Linked DNA regions of Arabidopsis thaliana. The protein of the gene in region 1 interacts with the protein of each later gene in a pairwise test. Each region holds a gene or a part of one and is shown in the gene's direction. Other genes may lie near its edges.

Region 1 (15,674 bases):
GATTTGCGAGATACACACAGTCTCACCTAAAAATCGCAAAAGAAGAAAAATTCGGATCAAAATTGTCTTCAAGCATCATGGATCCATACAGGGTACATCGATTGATTCTCTTTTTTTGTAATCTGTGATTTTACCTTACTTGATTTCGTATCGATTTGGTGTGATTTCGTGTTGAATCCAAAGTGTATGAATGATCTCTCTCTCTCGGTTAAAATGATGCAAAATTGGGGTGATTGTTCGACTTGTTGAGGTTTTTTTGTGTGAATCGATTTCTTTATTATATAGTGGAGATTGGGTTTCGATTTGCATGCGTTGAAGATTCCACTGGAAAATTCAACATGTTTTTCCGTCTATTGATTGTTTATTTGTCAACATGCTCATGCTCATGCTCATGTTCTAATACACAAGTCTTAAGGCTGACGTGATCTGTCAATATCGTTGTACATGTTTTAAGGTTTCTTTACGATTTTTTTAAAGTTATTTTAATCACTGTGTTCAATTGTGAATATCATTGTTGCTTGTATCGTATTTTTTTAATTGATCATATATACTTATGTGGAATTGTTATGTATCAAGTATCAATGTATCATTATTTGTCATAGACGTTTCTCCAATCTATGGAAATTTGGTTAATTTTTTTGTGATCCAGTTCTTCTGAATTTATTTGTTGGTGTGCAGGTTCGTCCTTCAAGCGCTCATGATTCCCCTTTCTTCACTACAAACTCGGGTGCTCCTGTCTGGAACAACAACTCTTCTTTGACTGTCGGAACTCGAGGTCCGTTTCTCTTTCTTATCTCTTGAATACAAATTATAACAAATATGTTGAACCAGTGGTTGTTAGAAATGCCCTTAAAGCTAGAGTAGTGGAAGCCAAATAATTTTATAAACGTTTGGATAATAATGTCATTAGTGTTTTTGTTGTGGACTTGCGTAAATCACATTTCTTCCTTCAGTTTTATGCCAAATCTGATATAATTCCTCAATGTTGATTCTGTCTCAGTTGCTTGGATTTTTAGATATGTTAAGCGATGGTTTTATATATTGTCAGGTCCAATCCTTCTGGAGGACTATCATCTGCTTGAGAAACTCGCTAACTTTGACAGGGAGCGGATTCCTGAGAGGGTTGTTCATGCCAGGGGAGCCAGTGCTAAGGGTTTCTTTGAAGTCACTCATGACATTACCCAACTTACTTCTGCTGATTTTCTTCGAGGACCTGGTGTTCAGACTCCTGTTATCGTTCGTTTCTCAACTGTCATCCATGAGCGTGGCAGTCCCGAGACTCTCAGAGATCCCCGTGGTTTTGCTGTTAAGTTTTACACCAGAGAGGTTAGCTTTTTGTCTTATCCTTCCATTGTCTCTCTATTTTCTATAACCGATATCGATGTGTTTGCTGATATTCAAACGTTTATTTGCTTATCTATTTCGTTTCACCACCTATATGATTACTTGCAAATCATATCATACTATACTGATGATTCCTCTTACCCTCTGTTTGCAAACTCAGGGGAACTTTGATCTTGTTGGGAACAACTTCCCTGTATTCTTCGTCCGTGATGGAATGAAATTCCCTGACATGGTCCATGCATTGAAACCGAATCCCAAGTCTCACATTCAGGAGAACTGGAGGATACTGGACTTCTTCTCCCACCACCCAGAGAGTTTGCACATGTTTTCATTTCTCTTTGATGATCTCGGTATCCCACAGGACTACAGGCACATGGAAGGCGCTGGGGTCAACACTTACATGCTAATCAACAAAGCTGGAAAAGCTCACTATGTGAAATTCCACTGGAAGCCGACTTGTGGGATCAAATGCCTGTCGGATGAGGAAGCTATCAGAGTTGGAGGAGCCAATCACAGCCATGCCACCAAAGATCTCTATGACTCGATCGCAGCCGGGAACTATCCGCAGTGGAATCTCTTCGTTCAGGTGATGGATCCTGCCCATGAAGACAAATTTGACTTCGATCCGCTTGATGTCACAAAGATCTGGCCTGAAGATATCTTGCCTTTACAACCTGTTGGTCGCTTGGTCTTGAACAAAAACATCGACAACTTCTTTAATGAGAACGAACAGATTGCATTCTGTCCTGCTCTTGTGGTTCCAGGCATCCACTATTCAGATGATAAGCTACTCCAGACCCGGATCTTCTCCTACGCTGATAGTCAGAGACACCGTCTTGGACCAAACTATCTGCAACTACCTGTTAATGCCCCTAAATGTGCTCACCACAACAATCACCATGATGGTTTTATGAACTTCATGCACAGGGATGAGGAGGTAATCTTATCTCTCGGCTCTAGAAACTCCCAGATACTTAAATTCGCAATCACATTTATATGAAGTGAATTTGTTGCTTTCCAATTCCAGGTCAATTACTTCCCTTCAAGGTTGGATCCAGTTCGCCATGCCGAAAAATACCCTACAACTCCTATTGTCTGCTCTGGAAATCGTGAGAAGGTCAGAGTCCTCTACATACATTAATTTTTGATCACAAGTTTTATCCTCATAAGTCATAGTTAAAACTCAAATGTCATCTTTATATCACAGTGCTTCATCGGGAAGGAGAACAACTTCAAGCAACCAGGGGAGAGATACCGGTCCTGGGATTCAGACAGGTAAACACTAAAAACTCAAAAACCACATTGCAAAATCAACAATTACACATGAACCACAAATGTCATAATTCATTCTAATGGTCTTTTGTTTTGTACCAATAGGCAAGAACGATTCGTGAAGCGTTTTGTTGAAGCGCTTTCGGAGCCTCGTGTCACGCACGAAATCCGCAGCATTTGGATCTCTTACTGGTCTCAGGCAGACAAATCTCTGGGACAGAAACTAGCAACTCGTCTTAACGTGAGGCCAAACTTCTGAATGATATCATCTCTAAAGACTAAGTGAAATCCTATAAACTCAATATGCTCCTCTTACGGTTTGGTTTCTAAGTAATCTCGTTTATTGACAATGAAACGCTTAAAGAAGGGTACTAGTTCCTGTTTGTAATCTTCTTTTCAAAATATTAACGATTATTTTCTAAGGCAAATAAATAAAAAGCTATGACTAATATAGCTTAGTAAACAAGTATCACTATCATCCATTTGGTTCTACTTTAAAAATGGATTTTTATTTGTATTTTAATCTTCTGCATCTATGACGTGAGCTTATAGTTGGAATTTTATTGGGGTCTAATGTCAGACGCACGATCTTGATAAAAAAGTTTTATGTCTGTCCATATTTTGATAAATTGGCATAGTCATCACTCATCACGTCAGACCTTTTAATTGGTCAATCGTTATGATGCTACATCGCATTCATAATTTATAATTTACATGTAAGTGGGGGTGGAGTATTTGATTATTCCGCTGCTAGTGGAAATGCAAAAAGAATAATGAGAGCAGACCAATTTTAATTATGCTTATACTTTGTTGCGCTTAACTTTTAATCAGCTAATACAGTCTGATTAATCTGATGTCTCTCAGCCAGTAGTTTCTTTTCTTAAAGAGAACCTCAGCGCAAATCAGAAATTAGACACATGGAGCCACATCAAACTTAATCACCAATAATATCCTTTTCTCATGTATTTTTCAGTCTCATATTTTTTTTTACAACTTGTTAAGTGGTAGTGTGCGAAGATTTTAGATCGAAGTTACGCATCTTAAGAGATTATTTATCCAATGAAATGGTATAGTGAACTGTGTTTGCTAATGGTCCAGGATTTTATACATTTAAAATTCATAACTTTGCAGTTTAACGAAAAACAATAACAAATTTAACGTGTTTTGGTTGTCGTTAACAAGATCTCGGATCCATTTAGGAAAAGTCAATATCTTGATGACGAAATCAAGAAGACTTTACTTTGATTGCATGTGACGGAACTTAAGCACTATACTAAACGATAAAATGTAATTATGTAAATATCTAAGTTTTGAGGTGTATAATGCAAGAGTATAATTTCGTGGACCTACGTCTAGGTCTACCAACAAATGTACTCAACATAAATAATATCGTCTCCGTACCCCAAAAATAAGGTATATAGGTTTTATACCTAACCAAGACGTGCAAAAATTATCACAATTATTTGACGTGGAAGTTAATGATTCGGCCAACCTTATACTAATTTTGTTTTGCAATTAAGGACTCATTTTTTGTGTATTATATTAAGGGATCTCTATTATCAATGTCCAACTATTAATCATTTTTTATACGTTTCAAAGCCCTATGAAAAGAGATTCTATTTGCCCGGATCATAATTTAAAATTGTGTAATCAGAATCTTCTTTTGTATTTGCAAAGTTTAAAAATTCATTGGTTACTCAAAAAAGTTTGTTTTCCTTGCAGTTCTATTGGTTTCTTTCTGATTATTGGAGTGTTTTTAGTTATATTTTATTTGTTTGTGAAACTGATTATTGGCTGTTTAGGCAATAAACTATATACAATTAAAGTAGTGCAAGATTCCAATTTACCCGTTGGGACTTAAATCTCAAACAAAAGTAATGAAAGAATTCATGTGGATGTGACCATGATTTGTGTTCGGCGGATGTGATCAATTATTTAAGCTCAAGTATCATGGTATCTAGTTTATATAAGTGGATAAGATATATGAACACAATTATTTGTAATCCACAGTTAATTTTGTATATATTGTTTGTTTTTCTATTATCCTATGAAGTTCAACAAACAAATCACACTCCACTATACATGACGGGATCAGTAATTAGTTCAACGCCTTTATACCATATGTTAAATATTGATGTGATTTATACACATTTCAACATGGGGTTGCTAAACTTGAACATAAGATCTTATGTTTTAAATTTCAGATGTCTAAGCGTTTATCTAAGCCATCCAAAATCACCCTAACTTCGATTTTATTCAAATAAGCCACTAAATTTAGTTAGAGTCAAAAATCTAAAATCTAAATTCTAACCGGACACTTCGTACATACAAACCTGATCGAAGATTAGAAGTTATATAAAGAGGTCTCTTCCACAGAGAAACAAAAAAAACGAAAGATAGTTAATTTTGTGATCGTCTTTTTGTCCAGAGTTCTTCACAATGAAGGAAAATATTACGTATGGGAGGAGTGTTGCATTTTGTTTCATCAAAATATATAAAACTCCCAACAGCCCATATGAGTGACCTAACGAAAACTTTTTAATGCTGACTAATATATATCATCATCTTCAATTCATTCTCAAATAAATATCTTTTTATTTTATTTAGAAAGCACTATATAATTCAGTCAATTAGAGAACCAAGTTGACCATATTTAAAACTAAAAGATGATATTTAGATCTTAACTACGTGTCATATATGATGAATTCTGAATATTTTTCTAATTTGAATATTAGACGAAAAAGTTGGTCATTAGCTTTATCCTTGGTAAAATGTTAAATTTTGTTAAGTAATTTTTCACTGATTAAATAAATATTTCAAATAAAATAAATAACTCTTTACAAAAAAAACTCTAGCATTTCGGTAGTCCACTAATTATACAATTATATAAAAATCCATGTTTAAGTTTTGACCTATATAAAAATAAAAATAAAAATCCATGTTTAAGTTTGGACCTATATAAATAAAAAGTAAAAATCCATTTTGAAGATCAAAATCCAACTTCTTTTATAGTAGGACCGGAATAAAACAATGTACAGTGTGACACACTTACTACTGGCAAAAAAAAGGGATAAATGAATGTGATTGAAAATGTGAAGTCATGAGTAAATATTATGTGGAGTGTACCTAATTAGAGAATACGTTAGACAAAACCTAAGTGGAGGAAACGCAGTCATGCACCACTTGTTTCGTCTTTTTAGCTTTGCGCTTCCTGTGAACGTAGATTGAAACACTTGCGAGTATAAACATATTCCTTGTTACGTATAATTAAATTTGTATGAATAAACTTAATTTACGTTCTGTTCTCTGTTATGTTACGTTTCGTTTCGTTTCCGTTACGTACAAAAAAAAATATTTTCATATGAGATACTAGACTAGAACACTAGAGTACTTATTCATGTTATATATATCCCATCCGCCAAAAGCTATTTTGTCCTACAACTAACGTGATCCAAACTAATAATCATGAAACCCTACCGAATACGAATTATGTAAATTTTTATAAAATCATCCTCTCACTCACTCGTAAATGTGGATTTCACATTTGTTCGTCCAATCTAACTCCCCTCCTGAAAACTATCATACCCCTTTTTTAAAGCATCATTCAGTTTGTCTTTTCTCCCTTCTCAGTTTGTTGTACCATATTATAACCAGACCATGAATAATCTCTTATATAACTTGACTTGATCACAACCAAATCTTTTCTTAAATTTGATTTTTTTTTACAAGTCCTTTTCTCTTTTTTTGAGCATTTGAATGTTTTTGGAATGACTCCAATAATTAAACCGCTTCTTTTTTTTTTGTTAAAAATGTAAATATTTTATAAAATAAAATAAAAACAGATTAGATTTACAGTCAAAAGTTATTGACCTATACAAATGATTATAGCAAAAAAAAACATGGAAACATAATAAAGCATAATTGAACCGCTTTCCACAACCTTTCTTAGAAAAACATTTTCCACATCGATTAAACCGTTCCACAAATCCACAAAATTCATTCATTTCTTACTATGTGGTTACTAATTAGAAACGTATATGTTGATTGTTGAAAACATATTTTGATGAATTGTTCTAGCTCAAACAATGAAAACATCCTTCATTTTTGTGAGAACTCGGTTCGAACTATCATAAAACTTTTAAAACGAAAGTATATTAATAATCAATGGTTTTGCCTAACCAAATAAATATTTCTTTTATTCGTTAGCGGTGGAATCTATTCACGAGCAGAAGATGGTATTGGTTACACAATACCCTCCACTAAATAGAAACTTTTGTTTCACTGAACTACTTTATATTGTCAATTTGAGTAGATTAATATATTTTTTCTGATCAAATTGAGGGAAGAACCTACTCCCCCACTCGTTTATTTTTATTTACTCTATAACTTCTCCAAATAAGCCTATAGGCTATAAAGAGTATAATAGTGGCCTTTAAAGATTCTTTAATTTTTCATAATTATAAAAAGATTATAACAACATGTAACAAAATTGACAATTGTAGGACATGAATAATTATTAACTTATCCTCAAACAGCAACAAAGCGTCTAAAAATCGAAAACGATTCGCTTTGGTCATCACCAGCATAATAAAATGTTGAAGAATCAGTCTCCAAATTCAATAAGCTTTTGAACAAATTGGCGAAATCAGATATTTGGTATATTTTAAAGATACGTACAGCCATTATATTTGATTTTTTCAAAAACTAAATTAGGATCTTATTCTACCACTGATTGTATTAAACAACAAAGTATTTAATCTTTAGTCAGCTTAGAAAAAAATCTTAATATTAAAGAAAAAAAATGCTTTTACTATTTCTTTTTTTATCTTAATATTTCAGTCATATAGTTTAAAATTCTGGTTAACAATTGTCAAATGAGATATTCCAAATTCTTTTTATTTACATATAGTTTAAAATTCTTGTGAATTTTCTATTTATGTAAAAAAGTCAAAATGTGATTATTGGTGAAATTCTATTTGCTATAACAAAACAAAAAAAAAAAGGTTTTGACTTTTTTACATAAATAGAAATTCACTGCAGGGAGACATGTTGTTGGTCATTTGTTTATTCCCTCTGTGTCTGTATTCTCTCTCTCTGGAAAGTGGAGGAATCTTCTATCTCTCCTCCAGTCAAAAAAACCCAAGCAGCCTGGAAGAGAGAGAGAGAGTAATGTGATACTATATGAAAACAAAATTCATAGTAAGGTCTCGCCATGTCCCGATGCATAAATGAGATAACGATCCACAAAATTTTCATTTTAAAAATTTCATCTTTTTTTGTTTTCATCTTCCGTGAAGAAGTAGTACCACATAACCCCCATCAGACATCTTTAAAGCTTTCTTCTTTTCCTTGTTTCTTTTGGTTTTGAGATTTGGGTTTCTTTTCATATCTGTTCCTTCTATCTCAGACAACAAATTGCAACAGAGGAAATTTAAAAACCCACTTGAGGAAGGAATCTTTGAGAATCTCTCTCTGACTTGTGAGTTTTTCCATCTAGTTTCTCTTTTAAGGGTTTGATTTTTCATTGTAAACGAAGCTGATTAGTTCAAAGTTCGTTTTTTTTTGTGTTTCATTGAGCCATATTGTTTGACCAGCTTGAAGGATTCAAACAAAAAGTTTTTGTTTTTGTGTGTCTACTTTGGATTGTTTCATTTTGTCTTCATGAATTAGATTTAGACAAGATTTGTGCTTGATTCGTGTTAAGTTTTGATTTGGGCCCTTCAATTTCCTACTTTATCGGTTGGTGAATTCTATACACATTAGTCCTATCACGACCTTCTGTTTGTTTGTTTTTGAAAATGGGTGCTTCGCATTTGCAGATGTTGCTTCATTGATTTTGGAGATATATCCATGGAAGATAGTTTCCTTCAATCTGAGAACGTGGTTATGGACGCTGACTTCATGGATGGATTGTTACTAGATGGTTGTTGGTTAGAGACTACAGATGGATCTGAGTTTCTTAACATAGCTCCTTCAACTTCTTCTGTTAGCCCTTTTGATCCAACTTCCTTCATGTGGTCTCCAACTCAAGATACATCAGCTCTTTGCACATCAGGAGTTGTATCTCAGATGTATGGTCAGGATTGTGTAGAAAGATCTAGTCTTGATGAGTTTCAATGGAACAAACGATGGTGGATTGGACCAGGAGGTGGTGGTTCTTCGGTTACTGAGAGGTTGGTTCAAGCAGTTGAACACATTAAAGATTACACAACAGCGAGAGGCTCACTTATTCAGTTATGGGTTCCGGTTAATAGAGGCGGTAAGCGAGTTTTGACCACAAAGGAACAACCTTTTAGCCATGATCCGTTGTGTCAAAGACTTGCAAACTATAGAGAGATCTCTGTGAATTATCACTTCTCTGCTGAGCAAGATGATTCCAAGGCTTTAGCTGGTTTGCCTGGGAGGGTTTTCTTGGGGAAGCTTCCTGAATGGACTCCTGATGTTAGGTTTTTCAAGAGCGAGGAGTATCCGAGAGTACACCATGCTCAGGACTGCGATGTCCGTGGAACGCTGGCGATTCCGGTGTTTGAACAAGGTAGTAAGATTTGCTTGGGTGTTATTGAGGTTGTAATGACCACTGAGATGGTTAAACTAAGACCTGAGCTTGAAAGCATTTGCAGAGCACTTCAGGTTTGTGTTCTTCTCTAAAGCTTTCAGCTTTTGCTATAGAAATGGTTTTCTGAGAGTGATGAATGTGTTTCCTTTTTGCAGGCAGTTGATCTTAGGAGCACCGAGCTTCCGATTCCACCTTCTCTAAAGGTAATCAAAGAAACTACATGAGTTCCTTATGTTCAGCTTTTGGGTATAAACAAGATTGTTTCTTCTTTATTCAGGGATGTGACTTATCCTACAAAGCTGCCTTACCTGAAATCCGAAACCTCTTGAGATGTGCTTGTGAGACTCATAAACTACCTTTAGCTCAGACATGGGTTTCTTGTCAACAGCAAAACAAAAGCGGGTGCCGTCACAACGATGAGAACTACATCCATTGCGTATCAACCATTGATGATGCTTGCTACGTTGGTGATCCAACAGTTCGTGAGTTCCATGAAGCTTGCTCTGAGCATCACCTCTTGAAAGGCCAAGGAGTTGCAGGTCAAGCCTTCTTGACCAATGGACCTTGCTTTTCATCTGATGTATCTAACTACAAGAAATCAGAGTACCCTCTCTCTCACCATGCTAATATGTACGGTTTACATGGCGCGGTTGCAATTCGCCTGCGGTGCATCCACACGGGCTCTGCTGATTTCGTCTTAGAGTTCTTTTTGCCTAAAGACTGCGATGATCTGGAGGAACAGAGGAAAATGTTGAATGCTCTTTCAACTATTATGGCTCATGTGCCTAGAAGCTTAAGGACTGTTACAGACAAAGAACTAGAAGAAGAGAGTGAAGTGATAGAGAGGGAAGAGATAGTAACGCCAAAGATAGAAAACGCATCTGAACTCCACGGAAATTCCCCATGGAATGCCTCTCTTGAAGAAATCCAGCGGAGTAATAATACTAGTAATCCTCAGAATCTTGGACTGGTATTTGATGGAGGAGACAAACCAAATGATGGTTTTGGCTTAAAAAGAGGTTTTGACTACACCATGGATTCTAATGTCAATGAGAGCAGCACTTTCTCTAGTGGTGGTTTCAGTATGATGGCCGAGAAAAAGCGTACAAAAGCAGATAAAACCATCACTTTGGATGTTCTTCGACAGTATTTCGCTGGGAGCTTGAAAGATGCAGCCAAGAATATCGGTGGTAAGCAGCATTTTTTTATCTTCTCGATTCAATTTATCGGAAAGTCCTGAGACTGATCTCTTCTTTTTGCCCTTTTCTTGTCTTGGAAATTTTCAGTTTGTCCAACGACCTTGAAGAGAATATGCAGACAGCATGGTATACAAAGATGGCCTTCAAGAAAGATAAAAAAAGTGGGACATTCTCTGCAGAAGATCCAACGAGTGATTGATTCGGTTCAAGGTGTTTCTGGTCCTCTTCCCATAGGCTCATTCTATGCAAATTTCCCCAATTTAGTCTCACAGTCACAAGAACCATCACAACAAGCCAAGACCACGCCTCCTCCTCCGCCGCCAGTGCAGCTTGCAAAGTCCCCTGTATCCTCGTATAGTCACAGTTCAAACTCTAGCCAATGTTGCTCCAGTGAAACCCAACTAAACAGCGGTGCAACAACCGATCCTCCTTCAACTGATGTAGGAGGTGCATTGAAGAAGACGAGCAGCGAAATCGAGCTTCAAAGCTCGAGTCTTGACGAGACAATTTTGACTCTCTCCAGTTTAGAAAACATCCCTCAAGGCACCAACTTGTTATCATCTCAAGATGATGACTTTCTGAGGATTAAAGTTAGCTACGGAGAAGAGAAGATCAGATTACGGATGCGGAATTCGCGCAGGTTAAGAGATCTATTGTGGGAGATTGGGAAGCGGTTTAGCATAGAGGATATGAGCAGGTATGATCTAAAGTACTTAGACGAAGACAATGAATGGGTTTTGTTGACTTGCGACGAAGATGTAGAAGAGTGTGTAGATGTCTGCAGAACTACACCGAGTCATACCATTAAGCTTTTGCTTCAGGCTTCTTCTCATCATTTCCCTGAACGTTCTTCAGCTACTGAATACAGTTTATGGCACTGACCTTAAATCAGAGAAAGAAGAAAGAAAAAGAAGCGTTTTAGGACATGACACAAAAGATAGTAATACCTTTGTGTTCTGTTATAATTGTTCATAATTTTATCTTTGGTTTTTTTGAAAGATTACTAGGAGAGGTGCTTTGGGTTTTGTTTTTAAAAACGCACCAGAGACAAGAAGAGAAGAACATGTAAAGATCCTATCTTCCTGAGAAATTGAAGTTGTTGTTTTTTTCTTCTGAAATTCCTTTCGAATGTGGTTTTCAAATGTAGATACACATATAAAAGAACTTTAATTGTTTCCATAATTGCCATATACATCAAGTAAAAGAGACTAATAACGAAACATTTACCAAACATATATTGTTTTCTGAGAAAGAAACAAAAAAAACCATTTTTACACAACACCAAACTGAAATTCTTAAAAGCTGTTTTTGAGTTTTTACAAGTCTCGTCGCGGCGTTCTTGAAATCTCTGGTGACGGTGATGAGACGTTTCGAGCTTCATGAGATCTGCTCTGTGCGGCTAAGTACTCTAGTGCCACAACTATGTCACCTATGAACGGTCGATAATGAGCTTCTTCATTAAGACACATTGCAATAATCGCAATCGCATAGTTTAAACACCGTCTTGGGTATTTTCCTCGTAGAGACGGATCCACTAAATGTCCAAACTTCTTCTGATCCTTGAGGTATGGACGTGACTGCAAAGATAAGAAAAGTTTTGGTTATAACTGGAGTAGGATTTTAGGTATTACGCTGTAATCGATTTAGTAAGTTTCTTACCCAAGTAACAAGATTCTGCTCGCCTTGCTTTTGACCTAAATCAATAGCTTTTCTCCCAGTAATCAGCTCAAGCAACACTACACCGAAGCAGTAGATATCCGATTTAACAGTTAATTTCCCGCTCATTGCGTATTCAGGAGCACAGTAACCGTAAGTTCCCATGACACGAGTCGATACATGAGTTCGATCACCAACTGGACCGAGTTTCGCCAATCCGAAATCCGAGAGTTTTGGACTGAACTCTTTATCTAACAATATGTTTGCGGATTTCAAATCACGGTAAATCACTGGCGGGTTAGCTGTGCAGTGAAGATACTCTATTCCTCGAGCTGCACCAACCGCGATTTTCATTCGAGTATTCCAGCTTAATGGTTCTTGATTAGACTCAAGATCTGAAAAATCATACAAAAGAGTACAACATTTGAAACTGAACATTCTTAAGATAGTTACAACAAAACACTTGAAAGAACAATGGAGTAAAAGTAAACTAACCAAAAAGGTGATCTTCTAAGCTTCCCATTGGCATGTATTCATAGACAAGAAGTCTTTGATCACCAGAAGTACAGTAACCGATCAATGTAACGAGATTGGGATGATGCAATAAGCTAAGCATAAGAACTTCTACTATAAACTCTCGGTTCCCTTGAAGCCCATCTGGATTCAATTGCTTAATAGCCACTACCTGTTTTCATCAAATCATATCAAATTACATCAAAAGCTCATTAAAAACAGAGTTTCTCTTTAAAAGGGCTTGAGGAAGAGAGAGAGATCTGACTTGTCCTGAATCTAAACGTCCCTTATAAACTCTGCCAAAACCTCCTTCTCCGAGCAAATTAACTTCCCGGAAGTTTCTTGTAGCTGCAGCTAACTCCTTGAACGTGAAGCTCCGAGCTCCACCACCAGGTATCGGACTATTCACTTTACCATTTACTGTTCCAAATTCCGACAGAAATTATTCTCAAAAAATGTGTTAAAAAGACACCATAAAAGGGACATAATCAAGAAACACTCACGACTCACCTAAGATACCCGAAATCGACTCTGTTCCTGTTGTATCACTTCCATGAACTGAAACCACAAAGAAAAATACTATAAACAAAAACGAAAACTTTTGAGGTAAAAACAATGAAAGTTATTGAATTGTGGACATGAAAGTACCTGATGAATCGGTTTGGTAACGAGAGTTGCATCGAGCGTTATCAATGTCGACTCTTATGTCCTTGGTTCGAGGATTCAAACAAGAGAAACAACAAGTCATCTTCTTTTTTCTTTAAGACTTACAACAATGGGGATTTAAAGAAGGAATTTTTAGAAAATGGAGCTGGTTCAAGAAACCAAGCTCCGAAAAATCCCAACACCAGACACAAAACCTGACAAAATTACTAAAGAAACAAAACTTCAAAACCTAGGATTTAGGGTCTGAAACTAAAAAAGAGATTGATTTCCTCTGTTTCTTCTCTTTGGATAATCCCAGAAAACAAAAGAACAAACTTTTTTGGCAGAGTAAAGCGAAATTATTGAATCGGCCGGCGATAGATTGCAGGAAGACAGAGAGAGAGAAAATATATTTTTAAAACAAAAAAAAACTGAAGAGTTACTAAAATTATACAAATTACATCTAATCACGACAAAAAATGACAAGGATCTTATAACAACAACAAAAAAACTGAGGTTTAAACAGTATATAGAAAAAAATAAAAATCACGGTAGAGACACTACTTTGATTTTAACAACTGAATTTTTGTTCTTCTCATTTATTTTATTTTAGTTGGAGCTACTGAAAAATATTTAAGTGGTAGAAGACGACGAGTTTCGTTTTGTTCTTTTCCAACTCGGTCCCATTTTTTTCAATAAAGAAAATTAAATTCTTACTCATTCTCTATCTTCTATTCAAAAATCGATATTTAAAAAAATTTCCCACAAAATTAAACTCTTCTTCTTCTTCTCTGGCATTTAAACCGGTTTGGTCCCCTTCTCTTCTCTGATAACCACGCTTGGTTTAAATTACTATAGTACCCTCTAACAGTACAGTGTTTGTAAGAGAACACCCATGAGGCCGACAGTGGATTTTGAAGTCGAGATTTTGACAAATGGACGGTCCAGATTAGATTATCTTGACCTTACGTATTACAGTGGGTCACACATACTGTCCTCTGCCTTCCCCGCATTTGACTTTATTTACCGTTTTAGTAAATTCTGTATCTATCATCATAAGAATAATAATGGCTACTTTATAAATCAATCAATTATTAGCTGATATGTTTGGAATTTTTCACCTATCTTTTTCTATCATATCTTTGCTTCTTTTCCTTCTTTTTATCATCGAGCTGTTTTTTTTTTGGTTTTTTTTCTCGTATTTATGACATTATTGTTGATCTTGTTACCATTCACACATCTACAATTTAAAGCATGTTGATGGAATTAAAATTTTGAACCAAAAGAGAGAATTATTATGAGCGCCCTTTTACTTTTGAAACTCTTTTTTTTATGTGTCCTCCATATTTTTGCATTGTGTTAATAACATTATTGTGAATTTACTGCTACTAATGGCATATGTGTTTCCATTAAATCTTCCTTTTAGTTTCCATAGCTATTTATTAAAAAAAATATATATATATATATATATAACACAACTACTATTTTAATTTTAACATGCAACCATGCATTCAAAACTGTTATTATTTTTTTTAGTTTTTGTTTGAAAAAAATATCGTTTTATATGTCCACTTTTTTAAAAAAACGATATGATGCATTTTGTCTTTCTTGTGGGATTAGAAATATATGTGATGGTTTCGTTTGGAATCTAGAGTCTACCTTTACATTTTCGCATGATTTTAATCCATCTACAATCTCGCTCTTAAACTAACTTTCTTAGCTCTATTGTAGTTTTTTTTTTTACATACGGATGATGACTAACATAGAACTCATCAAAGCCTAAATTCTCAAAGTTTGCTCATGGAAATAAAAATAAAAAATTTAAGCTTAAAACAACCATGGCTGACAAGTGTATGAACCATGCTAAGAGAAGAGAGATACTATCAGTAAAAAACAAAAGGCAACAGCAATCCAATAAGATACATGGACTAGGTACGTTACAACTTACGAGTTGGCTTAGGCTTAACAATGTTTTCTGCATAGTCTAGAAAGGCGTAAGATTTATGAGACTTGAAGGCTTCCACTCCTTGGATTTCAACTCTCGTGATAGCGTTCCTCTCGGGGTTGTAGTAGAGAAGGTAGAAAGAGTTGGAGATATTGCATGGCGACAACACAATATCCCCCGTGTCACTCGTTCCAACAAATCGTAACTTGGTCTCCTCAATTATATTCTTCCAAGGAGGAGGCAAAACGTAGATATAACTCGACCATTGATGTTTCTCGGCATCTTCTAAAACCCATAGTTGAATTCCTGTATATCGTATTGAGCCAGGACCAATATTTGCCTGGAGTTTAGCTATTTTACCCTTGTGGTTTACAAGAGTTGGTTGAAGATTAACTCCTGAGTTACGTTTCATGCCATTAGCTTTCTTTATATAACTAAACTTCTCAAATTTAATGTCAAAGCAAACTATATCAGGAAACCCGTCTAAGTCATCATGAACTCGGCCTAGGTAATACAAAACACCATTGATGCATATCCCATCATA
Region 2 (16,855 bases), on another chromosome or scaffold:
ACCGGAAAAAAATGATGATCAAAAATGCCAAAAAGAGTTATGTATAAAACCTTGGAGCGGAGATACATGTTATCGTTTTGCAGCTCGATTTCCTACAATGCAAGCGACAACAGAAAATAAAAAAAGATGATCATCAGAAAGAGAAGTTGCTAATAAAGTAGGGGGTAAGTTACTTGTGAAGGAAGATAGGTTTTACTTTTACCCTTTTTTGCATGTATTCAATCTCTGCAACTAACATCTCGTGCTGGAGAGAAAAACCAAATATAACGGGCAAGAATCAGATGGATATATATTCAATGATAAGGAGATTGATGGAGAGTTAGTGATTGTACCTTCTTGGATCGGACACGACTGATTCCTTTCTCAAGCCTACTTTCAAGGTTCTTGAGTTCCTTAAAGTTCAAGGAACCAAGAGATTCACCAAGAATGTGTCTGTTCAAATTCTGAATGTCCCGAATCTGTCTCCGGAGTTTAGACGCCTCTTGCTGATAGTACTTCATCAATTTCGATCCCATCATTGTTACAAGAGGTGAAAAAAAGGTCAGATAACTAAAAGAAGAAGAAATTAAGTAATTAACGAACTAGCTAGCTAGGTGTATTAATTAAAAGCTAACCTGAGTATTAGCTTCGGTGATGGTCGGAGGGTTAACGGCGTCGGAGCAAGCTTTCTTGTACCTTTCTATTGTTCCTCTCACACTTCATCAACATTCACACAAAGGAAAAGATTTTAAAATGCAATCTTTTTTGTGGTAGCTATATATGTAAATAGATGCAATCGGTGAAAATCTCAAACTTAAACCACCACAAGTAAAACAAAGACACACGAAACTATAACTGTTGGATTCAAACACTAAAACCAGAAGAGAAAAAAATATATATATATGAAGTCGTTAAAGAAATTGATATTTTTATCTTCTGGATATACAAAACACACAGAAAGACGGATATTAAGGTTTTGAAAATAAAGTTTTGTCCGCCCAAAACCTTAAATTCAACCGACAAAATAGTGAATGGACCAGTACCATATAGTATATGATTTGTTTGCCCTTCTTTTTTTGGGATATTATTGTTATTGCCTATTATCTATTAACAGTGACATCTCACAAAGTTATATATATATATATATATGTATAATCAAAGTTCGAGAAGACCCTAATGTGTACTTCCCCAAAAAAGTGTAATCCTAATTTGAAAACATACAAAAGAAAGAAGTAGCAAATCGGAGAAGAAAATAAAAAGAATTTGAATTGCATATGCTCTTAGTTAATTGGAATTGGTCCCAATTTATGTACGACACAAAATCCAAATTATATTTTAGGCTAGTATATATTTTGGCCTAATTAGATTAAAAAATTCACTACTAGGCTTTAAGAAAAAGAAGTGATTTTCAGGTCAAGTCAATAGATTCCCTACTCTAGAAGCTAATTTTGCTTCTTCATTTGTTTTTCCTGAATTAATATTTGAACATTACATTTACATGCATATGTGGCTGAGGCAAGTATGTTTTTACCAAGAACATGATATTTGTAAATCTTTTGCAAAACAGAAAAAGAAAAGCTAGAAATCTTTGCATAACGTTATGCTTTCATATTCATATACAAGTAATTTACATTGTGCTGTTGTATAATGGAAAGCTGAAGTTGAGAAATGTCAAAAGTAAGATACTACTAAAGCATGAGGGTGTTTGAAATAAGAAAGTTAACTACACTTTTGATAATAGAAACATATATATATCACATGTTTCTACATACATAATGCATTCCTCTTTTGTTAATCAAATTAGTCATGTCCATTATAAACTTCAGATCAGTTCTTTAGTCGTTGTGAAAGTTCACATTGAAACTACAAATTTACTAGTTTTAACTTAGATCCATGATATGAGACTTGACTTATAGATTATAGTCATACATCAACCTCAATTATAGTATTAACTAGCCAAGCAAATAAAAACAATATTTTTGAAAACATTTATCTTTAAAAAGCAGACAAATAATCAAAATGGTGAAATGAACATGAGCTGTTAATAGCTGGAAACGTATAGAAAAACGGAAATGACAAGTCCCCAACTTGAAGTGGAGAAAATAACAATCAAAAATCAAAATTTTCTGTTTCGTTATTTTTCTTGATTGATGGATCGGATGATTAATTAAGTGACTCAACAATAAGCTTTGTCCCTGATTCATTTTCTTGATTTAACAAAAGGATTCACCAAAAGATTAGAGAAGTGTCAGAAGACAAACACCTACTAGTCTCTCCCTAGTGAATCAATTTTGAAGGAATCTACATAGCTTTTTTATATAGCCAAATAATATATATTATTATAATTTTATCAAGAACCCTACTTTTTCATTACTATGATGGAAACCTAATGATCAATCTGCAGAAATAAAACTTGATGGGTCATCAAATTGATCGAAGTGTCTTGTACAAACTGACATAAATAGATACATATATAGATACTGTTATAAGGATTTGTGGAGAAAAAGTGACTGGAACAAGGTATGGGGGATGCTAATTAATGATCAGAGAAGACCCTCACTGCTTTTTTACTAAGAGAAAGAAGTTAAAGTAGGGTTCCCTAGTTTTAAACAAACCCTAATTTTGGGGATTTTTAAAGAGATTTGAGCTTCAGAGAAACTAAGGAAAAAAACTATAAAGAGACCATAAAGATTGAAAAACCCACCAGAAGAGTCGAAACTTTATTCTAGAAAAAAAATTCAAGAAAATCAAGATCTAGCTAAAAGATGTGTACCTGTTGTTGGCGTACTCGTAGAGACGGCCTCGAGTGGAGAAGATGACAAGAGCAACCTCAGCGTCACACAAGACAGAGAGCTCATAAGCTTTCTTGAGTAAACCATTGCGTCGTTTGCAGAAAGTGACTTGACGATTCGTAGTGTTCTCTATCCTCTTTATCTCTATCTTCCCTCTCCCTATCTTCTTGCTGCTCTCTGCTACTTCATTACTCGCACCACCCTCCATTTCTATAAGCCCTAGCTGAAGTATAAACACAAGAGAAATAGATCAAATCCTTTTGCACTCAAACACCTTGGATTAAAAGAAATGGTTTATAAGGATTAACTGAAGAACCCTAATAATTTGATTGGAGAAAAGGAAGAAACTTTTAAAAAAAAGTGTAAATCATCAATAACCATACCTGGCTTAGCAAGATTAATTATGATCAGAAAGAAAGAGAAGTGAGGATGGGAAGATGAATTATGAGAGAGTTAATTTGTTCATTGGCCTAAAGATACTATTCTTATTATCTCAGTACCACTTAACTGCTGCTTCAACTTTATTTTTTGTTTTTGGTTTCTGTTTTGGTTTATAATTTCTTTTAGAGGAATATTTCTTTGGAAGTATTTAAAAACCCATTTGCAGAAAACAGAAGGTTTGGTAGTTTTTTTTCAAACTGAAGTGTTATAGAAGGAAAAAGAAAGAAAGAACATGGACCATTACTTCTAACATTTTCTCAAATATCACACACCTAATTCTTTTAATTAAATTCTATATGCATACATTTAGATTGAAATTTGAAATTGATTGGAATTAAGTGGTAGAAAATATCAAATTAGAAAGAAGAAAAAAGAAAGAAAGAAGACAGTTGGGTTTGGATTGGGTGGGGAGAGAGCATTGAAGGAGGACCATCCAATTTTTCTTTCATGTTTAGAGGAAAAAAGAGAGGTATGGGCTCTGTTTCTCATCAGAATCACCTTTTGGAAACTTTCCTTTTTTGGTAATCCCTTTTTATTCTCCTTTTCTTTTTATTGCCCTACTCCTATATACATTGCATGTCGTTAATATTTACCTGGCATTTTATATATAAAAAAAATATTTCCAATTAAACCAATATTTAGCTAATATGCTAAGAATTTGGGTGGTTTATATGAGTGTTCGTCGTCAACGTTAGAATGGGGTTATATGAATATGAGTGTTATAACTTGTCAACTACCAAGCGAGACAATGAATAAGATTTCAGTGTTCTTGCCAATTAAAAAAAACTGTAAATAGTATATATTATTATTTGGTTGTGTTCAGAAATGGCAATTTAAGAGTATATATTATAACTGGTTTAGTTTTTCCAAAATTCTTATGTTCAAGTCTTAATCTTGGACATTAGGTTAGTCCAACGGCAATTTGAATATTTATTTTGATAATTAATTACATCATATTACGTAATTTAGACAAAAGAACTACATCATATATGCGACAATATAATTAGAGAAGATGAAACTAATAAAGTAAATGAAAGCAGAGAGCCCACGGGGAATGACTAATCATGTGTGTAGTCATTATCCATGAACCCTTTCTCAGATTTGCATTAATTAATTGTAGTTACGAAAGGAAACTCTTTTGTGTTTTGCCCATTCCTCATCATTTTCATTGTACTTCTATTCAATTTTCTTAACGAGCAACACACATTTTCACATTCATGTCGAATTAATTAAGTTGGAAATTCTGCAAAATCATTTCAAGAAAGAACTTGATGAGAGCTGGTAGGTCTTTTGATTGACTTTCGTGGTCTATATTCTCAATATATAGTATATGCTTTGAAAGTTGAATATGCACTAGTTCTTGTTGTGTTAAGAGTTAATTAGCGTGAAGTAATATAATTCTCATATCGAGTGTTTAATTTACTAGCTTTATGACAAAATAATCATAATCAAATAGAATACTAATGAAGAAAAAGGTAATATATATATGTAAGAAAGATGAATTATGTAAAGATTGCTTTTACTAGCCCTGTGACAAAAAATGTTAAATCTTTATCAAATTGAACGATGATTGATAATTGAAATTTAATTTTAATGAAAAGAAGTAGTATATAAATGGGTAAGAAAGAGAGATTTCCAAATTAAAGGACAGGTGATTTTTACTCAAGTATCATAATCAAATTGTGTATACGTCCAATCTCATTAATTAGTGCATAAGTTATTGATCACTAACTCTTGTGAAAAAGAAAAGAATCTTTTGTTTTGACGAAAACATATTCCAAATACCATTCATAGGGATACTAAACCCAAGACTTTGGATTTCCCTTCATCAGAAATTTTCCAACGTTTACTTTGAGATATTTTTTTTCTTCTTAGAACATATAATAAATAGGTTCATGAAAACGTAACAATGCGTTGGAGATTCTTTACCTGGCTTGTTGCCTTAACTCCCACAAAGATTCTTTTGCTTGAAGAAATTTCAAGCTTTTGTGTATATATCCAACGTCACAGTGCTAAAGACGTTTGAGAAAGTTTCTGTTGAAAGAAGAGTAAAAACTCAAAAAGAAAATGGGTTTCATTATTGCGATTGCAAAACGTTTTGATGCTCTAGTTGGGTAGGATTTTATTCAAATTCTGTCTCATATAATAAAAATAAACACTATATTTGTCAAATTTTTAACATTATTTTCTTCCTTTTTCTTGTTGCATGCAGGCCTGGAGTCATGCTTCTCTATCCTCTGTAAGTGATATCAAATCTGAATTTAAATGTTTGGTTTTTACAAATGCAACTTGATAGTTAACTGAATAAATGATTAGGTATGCATCATTTCGAGCAATAGAGAGTCCAACAATGTTAGATGATCAACAATGGCTTACATATTGGATCATTTACTCTTTAATAACGATATTCGAGCTATCCGTTTGGAGAGTCCTTGCCTGGTAATTACAATATTATTCACTAAATTCTGTTACGAATTCAAAAATTTATGCCTATAAAGACAAAAAAATGGTGTTCTTTTGCATATTGTAGGCTACCATTTTGGCCATACTTGAAGCTTTTGTTCTGTATGTGGTTGGTGCTACCAATGTTCAGTGGTGCAGCTTACATTTACTCCAATTTTGTTAGACAATACGTCAAAATTGGGATGAATGTTGGAGGAGGAACGAATTATACAGACGAACAAAGAAGAGTTTTACAGATGATGAGTCTTGATGCTAGAAAATCGGTTCAAGACTACGTTGACCGGTTTGGATGGGATTCTGTTGAGAAAGCAATCAAAGCGGTATATGATTTCTCTTGTTGATCTTTAATATAGTTATGTATATATAATCCAATACATATATTCTGGGAGTTTAACTTCATTATTTGTGTTCAAATGTAGGCTGAAAAAGAAACTAGAAAGCATTGAGATGGAAGATCAAGAGTCAAGAAAAACATTACTCTTTGGTTTGTACATGTATGTACATAGATTGTATAGAGCAATACTATAATGAAAAAGATATATATGTTTGAAAGATTTATGGTGACAAATTTGTGTTCTAGTACTCTATGACCAAAGATACTATTAGAGAAGCCAGTCCAACTCTTTTTGACAACATACATTTGGATGGGTCTCAATTTGATTAAACAAAACATCAGGACACGATTCGAATTAAAATGAGAATACAACACTCTTTTTGACATAAAAATAAAAATAAAATTCAAGCTCGCGCTATATCACAATTGGTGTTTTGCTAATTTCCTAAATCTAATTTTATTCTAATTTAATTATGTAAAATAATAAAATCACATCTTTGGAAGTTTTTAAATGTAATTCATATAACGACAAAAAAAATGTAATTCATATGACGTAAAAAAAATGTGATTAATTTTGTTAGGGTCATTAATCTATATTCTATACTTTAATACTCTGAGATCCGTGATTATTATTATTTGTCCATCTCTATCCACAAACCATACATAAAAAATTGATATATGACGTCAGAAAAAGATAATACAAGTCTACATATCTCTTCGTCCATTTATTTAATTTAATTGGTAAAGAATTGAGTGCGCAAAATTAATAATTTCCAATTTATCAAAAAAAAACACATTAATAATTTTATTTTTTATTTTGTTCAACTTAAAAAAAGAAAAGAACACACATTAATAATTTCCAAAAACCCCTCTTTTCTCATAGATTGAAGCGTATACTCTAATTTGACCAATCTAATCTAGGGTTTCTAGTCACTTGAAGCTTCTCTTAAAAAACCTGTCTCACTCCTCGTCAACCTCTTCCTCTCCCGCTGTCGCCAAGATTGAATCTTTTTTCAGGTTTGAATCTATCTTTAGAGTAATGAGTTTCTCTGATTTCCCGACAAAACATGTCTTAAACGCTGGCTTCCTTCTGTTGTTGTCCAGTTCTGCTTTCCTCTTATCTGGGTTTTAATAGATCCTTTCACAGAATTTGTTTGTAAGTGATATATTTTTTCCACTTGTCACGGCCACGATTCTGATTATTCTTCTAATTCGTTGTTGAGCTGTTATGAAAACGATGCAGAATTTGAAAGTTCACAACTTTTTGCTTCTTATCTATTCGCTTAATGCTTTTTTATCTGTTATGTTTCGTGTTCTTAGCTGGATTTAGTTATGTGCGTTTTTCAAGTTCATTAATGTGTAGGAATGTTTTTCTGTGTGAATGACTTCTCTTCCTCCTATGTATCTCGTTGCATGACTAAAGTCAGTGGCTGTATTACGAAAAATCTATACTTTATTTAGGTTGAGTATAATTTCAATGTCTAAAGCTCTTAAACTAGCTCCCTGTTAAGTAGAAAACTTATTGATGAGGAATTGGCCAAGTGATTATGATTATTGCTATCGTGCATTTGGGCATGACTGAGATAAAACCTTAACTTTACATATTTTCTGTCAATCAGTTGTGGCTTCACCGGATAATAAGGAATTCAGTAAGAGATAAGTTCATCCTGACAACATGGAGACCAAGAATGAGAATTCTGATGTTTCACGGGCAGAGGAGTTTAAAAGTCAGGCCAACGAAGCTTTTAAAGGTGTGTAATTTATCATAAACCTTTACATAATCTTGTGGCATCAGTTTATTTCAACTCTTTTAGTGAGGTACTCCTATCTTTTTGCTTAATGTTGTTTGTTGCTTACAGGTCACAAATACTCCAGTGCTATTGATCTATATACAAAAGCTATTGAACTCAACAGCAACAACGCTGTGTATTGGGCAAATCGTGCATTTGCTCACACAAAACTGGAGGAATATGGCAGTGCAATACAGGATGCATCGAAGGCCATTGAAGTTGATTCAAGATACTCTAAGGTATCATCCTGTGACAAGATGTTCCTGTTTCTTCGTGTATTCAGCCATATTCACTGATTATCTACTGAATCACAGGGCTATTACAGGCGTGGTGCTGCGTATCTTGCCATGGGAAAATTTAAGGATGCCTTGAAGGACTTCCAACAGGTTAGTGTTTCTTGCACGAGCATTGTGCCATTTAAGTTGTTGTCTCTTTCGTTTATATTTGTTAGCTGCTGATCTGATAGTCCTCTTTCTAGTTTACTCTAAACTTTTTGAGTGAGGATCAGCTCAGTTGAGAAATGTCAAAATACTATAGATGAAATGTTGTAGGCTTGTATAGCTTGAACCCACCCAAATGGTCATAACTTGATTGTTTTGGTCTGATCAAGTGATTAGATCCTGGAAACTTGATAGAGTGATAGTTATCTGTCAAAATCTGGTTTGGTGGTCGACTGTCTTGATCTTTTAAGCAAGACTAGCGTGTATGGTATTGTTGACTTGGTCTGCTATATATATTTTAGGTAAAAAGGCTTTCTCCTAATGACCCTGATGCCACAAGAAAGCTAAAGGAATGTGAGAAAGCAGTGATGAAACTCAAATTTGAAGAAGCAATCTCTGTGCCAGTATCTGAAAGGCGTTCAGTAGCTGAGTCCATTGACTTCCATACAATAGGTATCCTTCATCTGTTTGCTTATTTTTTGGTTGTCTTATAGCTTGCAGTTTGTTGTGTCACCTGGTTCTTTCGTCTCTTGTTATGCCATGCCTTTGATTCAGTAGTTGAAAAATGGTTGAATGTAGCTTTAGACTAGTAATCATTCTTCTACCTATTGTCACATAATAGGGAACAAACCCAGATCATCATCCATGCCCACCAAAACGGCTTTAGCAGCAGTTGTTGCAGCAGTAATGGTGGTGGCGGTCCGGGGATTTGCCACAACTGAGATACTCATGGTGTTGGTTTCGGTGGTATTAGGGACATTTTGGTGGGGTAGCTTCAGTGGTAGTAGTGTCTTTTCTCTGGTTAAACCCTCATCCTAGGATCAATGTGGATTGTTTTCATGCATATCAAAACCTGGATAGTTTCCTTTCTTGGAGTCTCAGTTGAGAATTGACAAAGCTCAATGATATTGATGTCAAAAACATCTCAACAGGAGTGGAACATTTCATAGATTTACTAATATCTCTATTTTTGTTTTGTTATGATAGCATACCTCTTTTACTACATTGTAAAAAATGTGTATCCATGACTTGTAGCTTTTAATATTCATTGATAAATGGTGTTCACTGTTACAGAGTTCTTAACCTTTTGTCAATTTACTTATTCTTTTCAATTTTATTGTAGAGGTTGAGCCACAATATTCTGGTGCTAGAATTGAGGGAGAGGAAGTTACCTTAGATTTTGTGAAAACGATGATGGAGGATTTTAAGAACCAAAAAACATTGCATAAACGGTATGTATTGTTTTGGGGGTACTCAACTTAATTTACACAGTTACCATATGTTCATGCTTTGCGGGCACTTTATATGTAGGTATGCCTATCAAATCGTCTTACAGACTAGGCAAATCTTGCTAGCACTGCCTTCTCTTGTTGATATAAGTGTTCCACATGGCAAACATATCACTGTTTGCGGTGACGTTCATGGTCAGGTATGCTTTGGTTTCACCTACTCTCCGAACATAATATTTTAATGTCTCAAATGAATCTGCGAGGATCCACCATCTCCTGTTCTCTTGTTTATATATGTAGAAGTTTTCAATAAACCGGTTCCCATACTATATTTCTGGAATTGGATTTTATTATGAATCATTCTACTTTTCATATCTTGAATTTATTGGCTAACCTTCTACTCCCTCTTGCACTATTAAGGGCTGTATTGTGTTGTATTGGGTGTATGTTTGACACATTGTTTGCTTTTGCAGTTCTACGATCTTCTCAATATCTTTGAGCTTAATGGCCTCCCTTCGGAGGAGAACCCATACCTATTTAATGGCGACTTTGTGGACAGAGGCTCATTCTCCGTTGAGATCATCCTCACTTTGTTTGCTTTCAAGTGCATGTGCCCATCATGTAAGTTCTCTAAAACTTTGTTGTAATAATTCTTTGATGTTCATGTTTTAATTGCTTTTGCTATCACTGGCAAGGATTAAATTATTTACTATTGTCTGATGGGGTTAAAAGTTTCCATTTTAATTGTAAATCGCCATTTACACACCTTTGTACTGCAGCCATATATCTAGCCAGAGGAAACCATGAAAGCAAGAGCATGAACAAAATTTATGGTTTTGAGGGTGAGGTTCGGTCCAAGTTGAGTGAAAAATTCGTGGATCTCTTTGCTGAAGTTTTCTGTTACCTCCCGTTGGCTCATGTTATAAATGGGAAGGTCTTCGTGGTACATGGAGGTCTTTTCAGTGTTGACGGCGTGAAACTCTCAGACATCAGAGCCATTGACAGATTCTGTGAGCCACCAGAGGAAGGTATGTTTCATCATATACATCTTCTGTAAGATTACTTCTCATGTAATTGTGTTCTGTTTAATCATCTTATCTTGCTAATGGTTTATGCAGGACTAATGTGTGAACTATTGTGGAGTGATCCTCAACCTCTCCCTGGAAGAGGCCCAAGCAAGCGAGGAGTTGGTCTATCATTTGGTGGAGATGTGACAAAGAGGTTTTTGCAAGATAACAATTTAGGTTAGTTCACTGTCTTGTTATTATCGGGGTTTGGTTTCGCAAACTAATATTTACTTGAGATAGCTATTAACTTGCATTTTCATGATTGTGGCAGATTTGTTGGTCCGGTCACATGAAGTAAAAGATGAAGGTTATGAGGTTGAACATGACGGTAAACTCATAACTGTCTTCTCTGCGCCAAATTACTGTGATCAGGTAACTCAGACACTCCTGTCTTCTTATTTCAAAACAGCACCCAGTTACTTGATTCTTTACTTAACATGGACTGGTATTGTTGTAGATGGGTAATAAGGGAGCCTTCATTCGTTTTGAAGCTCCTGATATGAAGCCAAACATTGTTACATTCTCAGCAGTGGTGAGTGTAGTCCTCTTACATAGCATTGTTCTTATGAATGTTTCACAGAAGATAGTTCACGGTTTGATTTAGACTCATTCAAACACTCTTCTAATTTTCTGATATTGTTATTTCCCAGCCTCATCCGGATGTGAAGCCTATGGCATATGCAAACAACTTTCTCAGGATGTTCAACTAACCAGCAAAAAGCTTCTTCTACTCAAAATGCTATTCTAAAGACTCAAGACCAGAAGTGGTTCAGAAACATAATGATATAAGTTTTTTTTTCCCTTTATCTTCTGCAGTTTTTTCATGTTGTTCCAGAAAAGGGAGGCCATGATAATTAAAGGTACAGTATCCGGATTTGATCGTTTTTTTTCTTCTTCCTTCTTTTCTGATAAAGATTTTCACTCTTCCTTTAAGCTTATCCAGCAACTTTTGTCCCTTTTGTCTTATGTTGTAAGAGGGGGTAATGTATCATTCTTATTTTAGATGAAAATCTTGTGATTACTCAACAAAAGAGTGACCAAATGACCCCCCAAAACTTTGTACTTAAAATGGTTTCTTGAATCAAAAATCAAAAGGTGTTTCTTTAAAGCTTCTTGTCTGCTTCTTAGAGTCTTTTTGAATGGAGTTTAATTCAAATATTCAAGCAAAGACAGCAAACAAAAACAGAGAGGTCAATAGTGTTGAGTTCTTGCAACAGTTACTCTCGTGTAGATTCAGTTTTTCCCTTATTTGAGTTTGTACAAATGGTGTGACCTGTTTAAATACAACAGTCTAAAGAAAGTTAATAACACTATTGTTTTCCCCACTCTCTTACATGAGCTGTTTCAGATCAAAATACCTGCAGATTCTCCCATGAATTTTGCAGAGAATTTTGACAAAGTATGTGCTTTTGTTTAGCGATGACAAACCACTACTGAATCACAGAATCATAAACCTTGTTTTAGTCCATGCATGGATAGATAGATAGATACATGTACTAAAATGTGGAGAAAGCAAAAGTAGATGGAGTGGTGTCAAATCGTAAAGCACTGATGAAAGGCCTGAGAGATCGAGAAAGCATTACGTGGATTACATAAAAACAATTTACAAAAATTGTCAGATGTTTAAGGGAAGTAGCTAGAAATTTGGATTATGGTGTTGACCGGTTTTAAAGTCTTGTAACCAATCAAGTGAGTTTTATGGCCGTTGGATTTTTAATTTTGGTGTAGGGCATGCTTGAGCTAGATCCGTACGGTAAATAGTAGGTTCTGAATTTACCTCTTCAGACTCACAGTCCAGGCTTAAGATTAGATCCTTGACTACATATAATACACACCAGACCATATACATCACAATACATTGTACATTGTCTTACAAAACATCTGCTGCATATTGCCAAGTGTAGTACAATTTCTTAACGTTCAAATTTTAACCTCTTTTTTTACTTCTTACAAAATGATGTTTTCTCTGTTTTAAATAACCGTTATGTCGTAAGATATTCATAACATTCTAAGGTACAACAACAAAAATAATCCTAGGACAGAAACAAGTTTCTTTGAGTTTTTTTTGTTTGCAAAAGTCTTGATGGGGTTGTCAAATGTATTTCAATTCTTCTGTATTTAAGTTACAAATAACTATGATTTTGTCTGGATCAATTCAAACTATGAATAGTAAAACTTCAGAGAAATTTTGAAAAAAAGACATGAATAATTGAAGACAGTAAATAGAGAGACATACTATGCCCACCACTTTTCAAGAGTTTTTCCTTATTAGTAGTTTTTATTGATAACAAATATCTATAGAGAAAAGATGATTTGAAATAATAGAAAAAGAATGAAACTATTTTGTCAACAGTGAAGAAACTATTTTGGGTGATTTTTGAAACAGTTTGTACCAACTATACATTTTGATTGTCATGTGGTGTGTTCTCTTTTGAACCAACAACCAGATGGTCATCTTACATCAAATCTTGATTACGAATTGGTTTTCTTAAACTAGTTTTCTTCAAAGTTAATGTATAAGTTCTAACATGTCACATTGAGATGATGACTAATTATTCATCCAGAAAGAATCTCATTCTAGGATCAATATCGGATTGGATCAATCATAACAATTTCATATCGGTTTGAAGTAGTGTGTATTCAGATTCCAAAATTTAACACCAATTAATAAATAGATCCATGCGTTTACTATTTAAGATCGTTAGTCTCATCTTATTTCATACATGTGTGAGGACTATCTTCCTTTGCAATAGACTTGGATCATACAAAATCACATTCTTTATTGTACATTTTAATATAGAGTATGCAAAAATAGTACATGGTTAGAAACTAATACATATATATATATAGAGAGAGAGAGACATAAAACAGGAAAGCCGCTCCACAGAACCTGAGAGATTCGAGGAGCTAACGTATTCACGAGACTACCTCCCAACAAAGACAAGTCCTTCAAAATTTGGTTCGAAGAAAAGTGTTTTGAATAAAGAAGAAACATGTGTGTATGGCCTTACAAAACCCATCAAGTACTCTTTTTAATTTTGTGTCTTCTCTTTCTCTTCCCAATCTCATGACTTGAGTCCCTACCTCTTTGTCTCTCACTACCCCACACGTGTCACTTTCAGTCACTTCCATTTATAATTGCATCTCACACACTCAAAACCTATTCGTATTCTTTACTAGCTTTCTTCTAAGTCTTCACTCTTTTATCATACCTTGTTTAGATTCTGATTGTTCACGTGTCTCTGTCTTGTCTTGTCCCTAATCCTTAAACATTTCACTTAAACTCTTTTAACCTTTTCCTAAGTTTCTCTTTTGGGTTTTTGCTCCTCGATGATGATATAATCTCACTTTTTATACTTTTCCTCCTCAAAGATTCTAATTAACGTCACATCTCTCCATTTTCTTTTGCATTGGAGAATGAAGAACTTTTATGAATTCTCAGTATAATATCACCAAGAAACACACACACTCTCTCTTTCCTCTCTCTTACACCAAAACCTATGACGATGAAGAGAGCTTTACCATCTCCTTCCTCACTGCTCTTCTTCTTTCTCCTGATAACACCACTCTTCCTCTGCCAAGAAAACAGAGTCTCTGCCTCAATGCCTCCATCTGAGTCAGAAACTCTCTTCAAGATCATGGAATCAATGTCTTCTGATCAACAATGGCGTCAATCCCACCCAAACCCTTGTGCACCTGGCTCATCTTGGCCAGGCATTGAGTGCAAAACCGGTCCAGACCACTTATCACACGTCTCTCGACTCGATTTCGGCTCTGCTCCAAACCCCTCTTGTAAATCCTCTGCTTCTTTCCCTTCTTCAATCTTCACTCTCCCTTTTCTCCAATCAGTCTTCTTCTTCAACTGCTTCACTCACTTCCCAACCACAATCATGTTCCCTATAAAACTCATCCCTAACTCTTCTCTTCAACAACTTAGCCTCAGATCAAACCCTTCTCTCTCAGGTCAAATCCCTCCTCGCATTTCTTCTCTCAAATCTTTACAAATCCTCACTCTCTCACAAAACCGATTAACCGGAGATATCCCTCCGGCGATTTTCTCATTGAAAAGCCTCGTACACCTCGATCTCAGCTACAACAAGCTCACAGGTAAAATCCCTCTGCAATTAGGGAATCTAAATAACCTCGTTGGCTTAGATTTAAGCTACAATTCTTTAACCGGTACAATCCCTCCAACGATCTCTCAACTGGGTATGCTTCAGAAACTCGACTTGAGCTCAAATTCTCTCTTCGGAAGAATCCCGGAAGGTGTAGAAAAGCTTCGTTCGTTGTCTTTCATGGCGTTGAGCAACAACAAACTAAAGGGAGCTTTTCCAAAAGGAATCTCGAACCTTCAGAGTTTGCAGTACTTCATAATGGATAATAACCCAATGTTCGTTGCTCTCCCCGTTGAATTAGGGTTTCTTCCTAAACTTCAAGAGCTCCAGCTCGAGAATTCTGGATATTCCGGCGTAATCCCGGAGAGTTACACCAAATTGACGAACCTTAGCTCGTTGTCTCTTGCTAACAACAGATTAACCGGCGAAATCCCATCAGGGTTTGAGTCTCTGCCACACGTTTTCCATCTGAATCTCAGCAGGAACTTACTGATCGGCGTTGTTCCGTTTGATTCAAGTTTCTTAAGACGGTTGGGTAAGAACTTGGATTTGAGCGGGAACAGAGGATTGTGTCTGAATCCGGAGGATGAGTTTAGTGTTGTCAAGACCGGGGTTGATGTATGCGGGAAGAACGTTAGTAGTGGTGGAGGTTTATCGGTGCATTCATCGAAGAAGAAATCTCAAGCTTCTCGGTATTACAGATCTTGCTTCTTCGCCAATGCTCTGTTTCCGTTTGCTCTGTTTCTAGGTTTACATCAACGATGGGTTCTCTAAGAGTGAGATAAAGACAAAACAGACAGAGAATTAAATATTTATCAAATCCCTAAAAAAGAGAGAAGAATTGTGTTTGTTCCCAAAGTAGACCGATGATTTCTAGGGAAATAAATTAATAGAGTCGATTTTGATGTGTATTAGTTTCCTATTAAAGCAATGTACGTTAATGTTGTGTTTTTTTTTTAGTTTAATAATAATACTAGTATTTTCAGATTTTTATATGATTGTTAATAAAATTATTTCGAGTCATCCATAATGGTCCTGAACAACTTCATAGCCGTGTGTATAAATATGTGTTTGTATACAAAAGAGAAAATAACAAATGAAATGAAACGACGTTTTTGTTTTCTATTGGGTAAGAATTAAATTTCTAGTAAATCTGTTATAAAATTTACATACATAGAGTGTAATAAACAAAAATAAGGGAGCAGTTTGGACAAAGAGTTTGCAGTGAGTCTGATAAAACGACACAACCTGATTCAAGTCTAACCATGCAACTAAATTGAAGACCTAGAAAAATTAATGTTAATTGAGTTTCAACTAACCATTTCAAATTTGTGTTAAGCTAATTTATTTATCTTAATCAACTAACGTAATTTGTTTTTAAACTGCTATTTGCTAAATTCATTATGTAGGAGTAGCCGAGTAGGACCCTGAATGGTACGCTCAAAAGAGGTAGCAGCGTCATCGAACTTAACGTTAGGACACCCTATGATTGATCGTATCAAATGACCAAAATTAAAAAGATGATTGAGTAAACCAATTAATTTTGGTATATAAACAATCTTTTTATTATCGTACACATTTTTGGGATGTGATGTGACTAATGAAAGGTTTAAATATATTTAAACATGATAAACGCAGAAACCACCATATAGAGGAGAAACTAGAAAAATATAATTTGTCAGTCATGTGTCTAAATCCACACCTACTTTTTTCTCATGCTTTTTTTCTTCCTGCAAATATTGCATTTCCTTTGCCTCTCTCACACATTTCCTCTGTCACTTTCTTTTTTATATATTTTTATTTCGGAATTCCATTACCGTGAAAAAGCTTTGTTTACAACAGTAATTTTGTTTCAAATGCTTTCTTGTTGTCTATTTTTATCAATTACTATGCCTCTGCTTGAATAACTTAAAAACACAAGTGATGTTAATTGTGTTATTGTAGATCCTATGAACAAATTTAATTTATAGACGTGTGAAGTTATAAATGAAAGATATCATTGAGTGAGTGATCACCGTTGCAGATAATGTTTAAAGAAAAAAAAAAGGAACAGTTCCTTGTTCATGTCATCATGTGTTGAAAACGGAAGGAGGGAAAGAAAAATCTATCACTCTCAGATTCAGAGCCTCACGTGGGGTAAACTTAGAATTCTATTTTTAGGTACGAATCAAAATATACGACCCGTCGCTTTTAACATGTCATTTA

The links.
Region 2: the proteins of AT1G20640 (region 1) and PP5.2 interact in a two-hybrid assay, tested with the Arabidopsis thaliana proteins (one large-scale study listed by BioGRID).

Annotation. Positions count from the first base shown.
Region 1 is NC_003070.9:7,146,735-7,162,408, forward strand, and holds AT1G20640 (Plant regulator RWP-RK family protein), read left to right. Parts: upstream 1-7,675; 5' UTR 7,676-7,815; exon of another isoform or gene 7,816-8,023; 5' UTR 8,024-8,355; intron 8,356-8,435; 5' UTR 8,436-8,466; coding exon 8,467-9,246; intron 9,247-9,327; coding exon 9,328-9,375; intron 9,376-9,449; coding exon 9,450-10,362; intron 10,363-10,458; coding exon 10,459-11,252; 3' UTR 11,253-11,553; downstream 11,554-15,674. Other genes in the region: CAT1 (catalase 1), read left to right, coding at 78-92, 679-775, 1,049-1,326, 1,505-2,281, 2,372-2,461, 2,552-2,619, 2,722-2,875; ASG5 (Protein kinase superfamily protein), read right to left, coding at 11,688-11,948, 12,031-12,422, 12,523-12,712, 12,806-12,960, 13,051-13,098, 13,189-13,288.
Region 2 is NC_003071.7:17,806,726-17,823,580, reverse strand, and holds PP5.2 (protein phosphatase 5.2), read left to right. Parts: upstream 1-6,808; 5' UTR 6,809-7,026; exon of another isoform or gene 7,027-7,431; intron 7,432-7,628; 5' UTR 7,629-7,684; coding exon 7,685-7,760; intron 7,761-7,868; coding exon 7,869-8,038; intron 8,039-8,113; coding exon 8,114-8,185; intron 8,186-8,541; coding exon 8,542-8,692; intron 8,693-8,861; coding exon 8,862-9,023; intron 9,024-9,362; coding exon 9,363-9,471; intron 9,472-9,550; coding exon 9,551-9,668; intron 9,669-9,941; coding exon 9,942-10,089; intron 10,090-10,247; coding exon 10,248-10,496; intron 10,497-10,586; coding exon 10,587-10,712; intron 10,713-10,806; coding exon 10,807-10,907; intron 10,908-10,992; coding exon 10,993-11,067; intron 11,068-11,185; coding exon 11,186-11,245; 3' UTR 11,246-11,646; downstream 11,647-16,855. Other genes in the region: SHP2 (K-box region and MADS-box transcription factor family protein), read right to left, coding at 51-92, 197-244, 333-494, 615-696, 2,753-2,979; HVA22F (HVA22-like protein F), read left to right, coding at 5,280-5,326, 5,425-5,451, 5,529-5,651, 5,743-5,995, 6,095-6,121; RLP29 (receptor like protein 29), read left to right, coding at 14,036-15,424. UniProt on the Arabidopsis thaliana protein: Isoform 2 dephosphorylates phosphorylated phytochromes, with a preference toward Pfr forms, and enhances phytochrome-mediated photoresponses, probably by enhancing their stability and their binding affinity for light signal transducers such as NDPK2.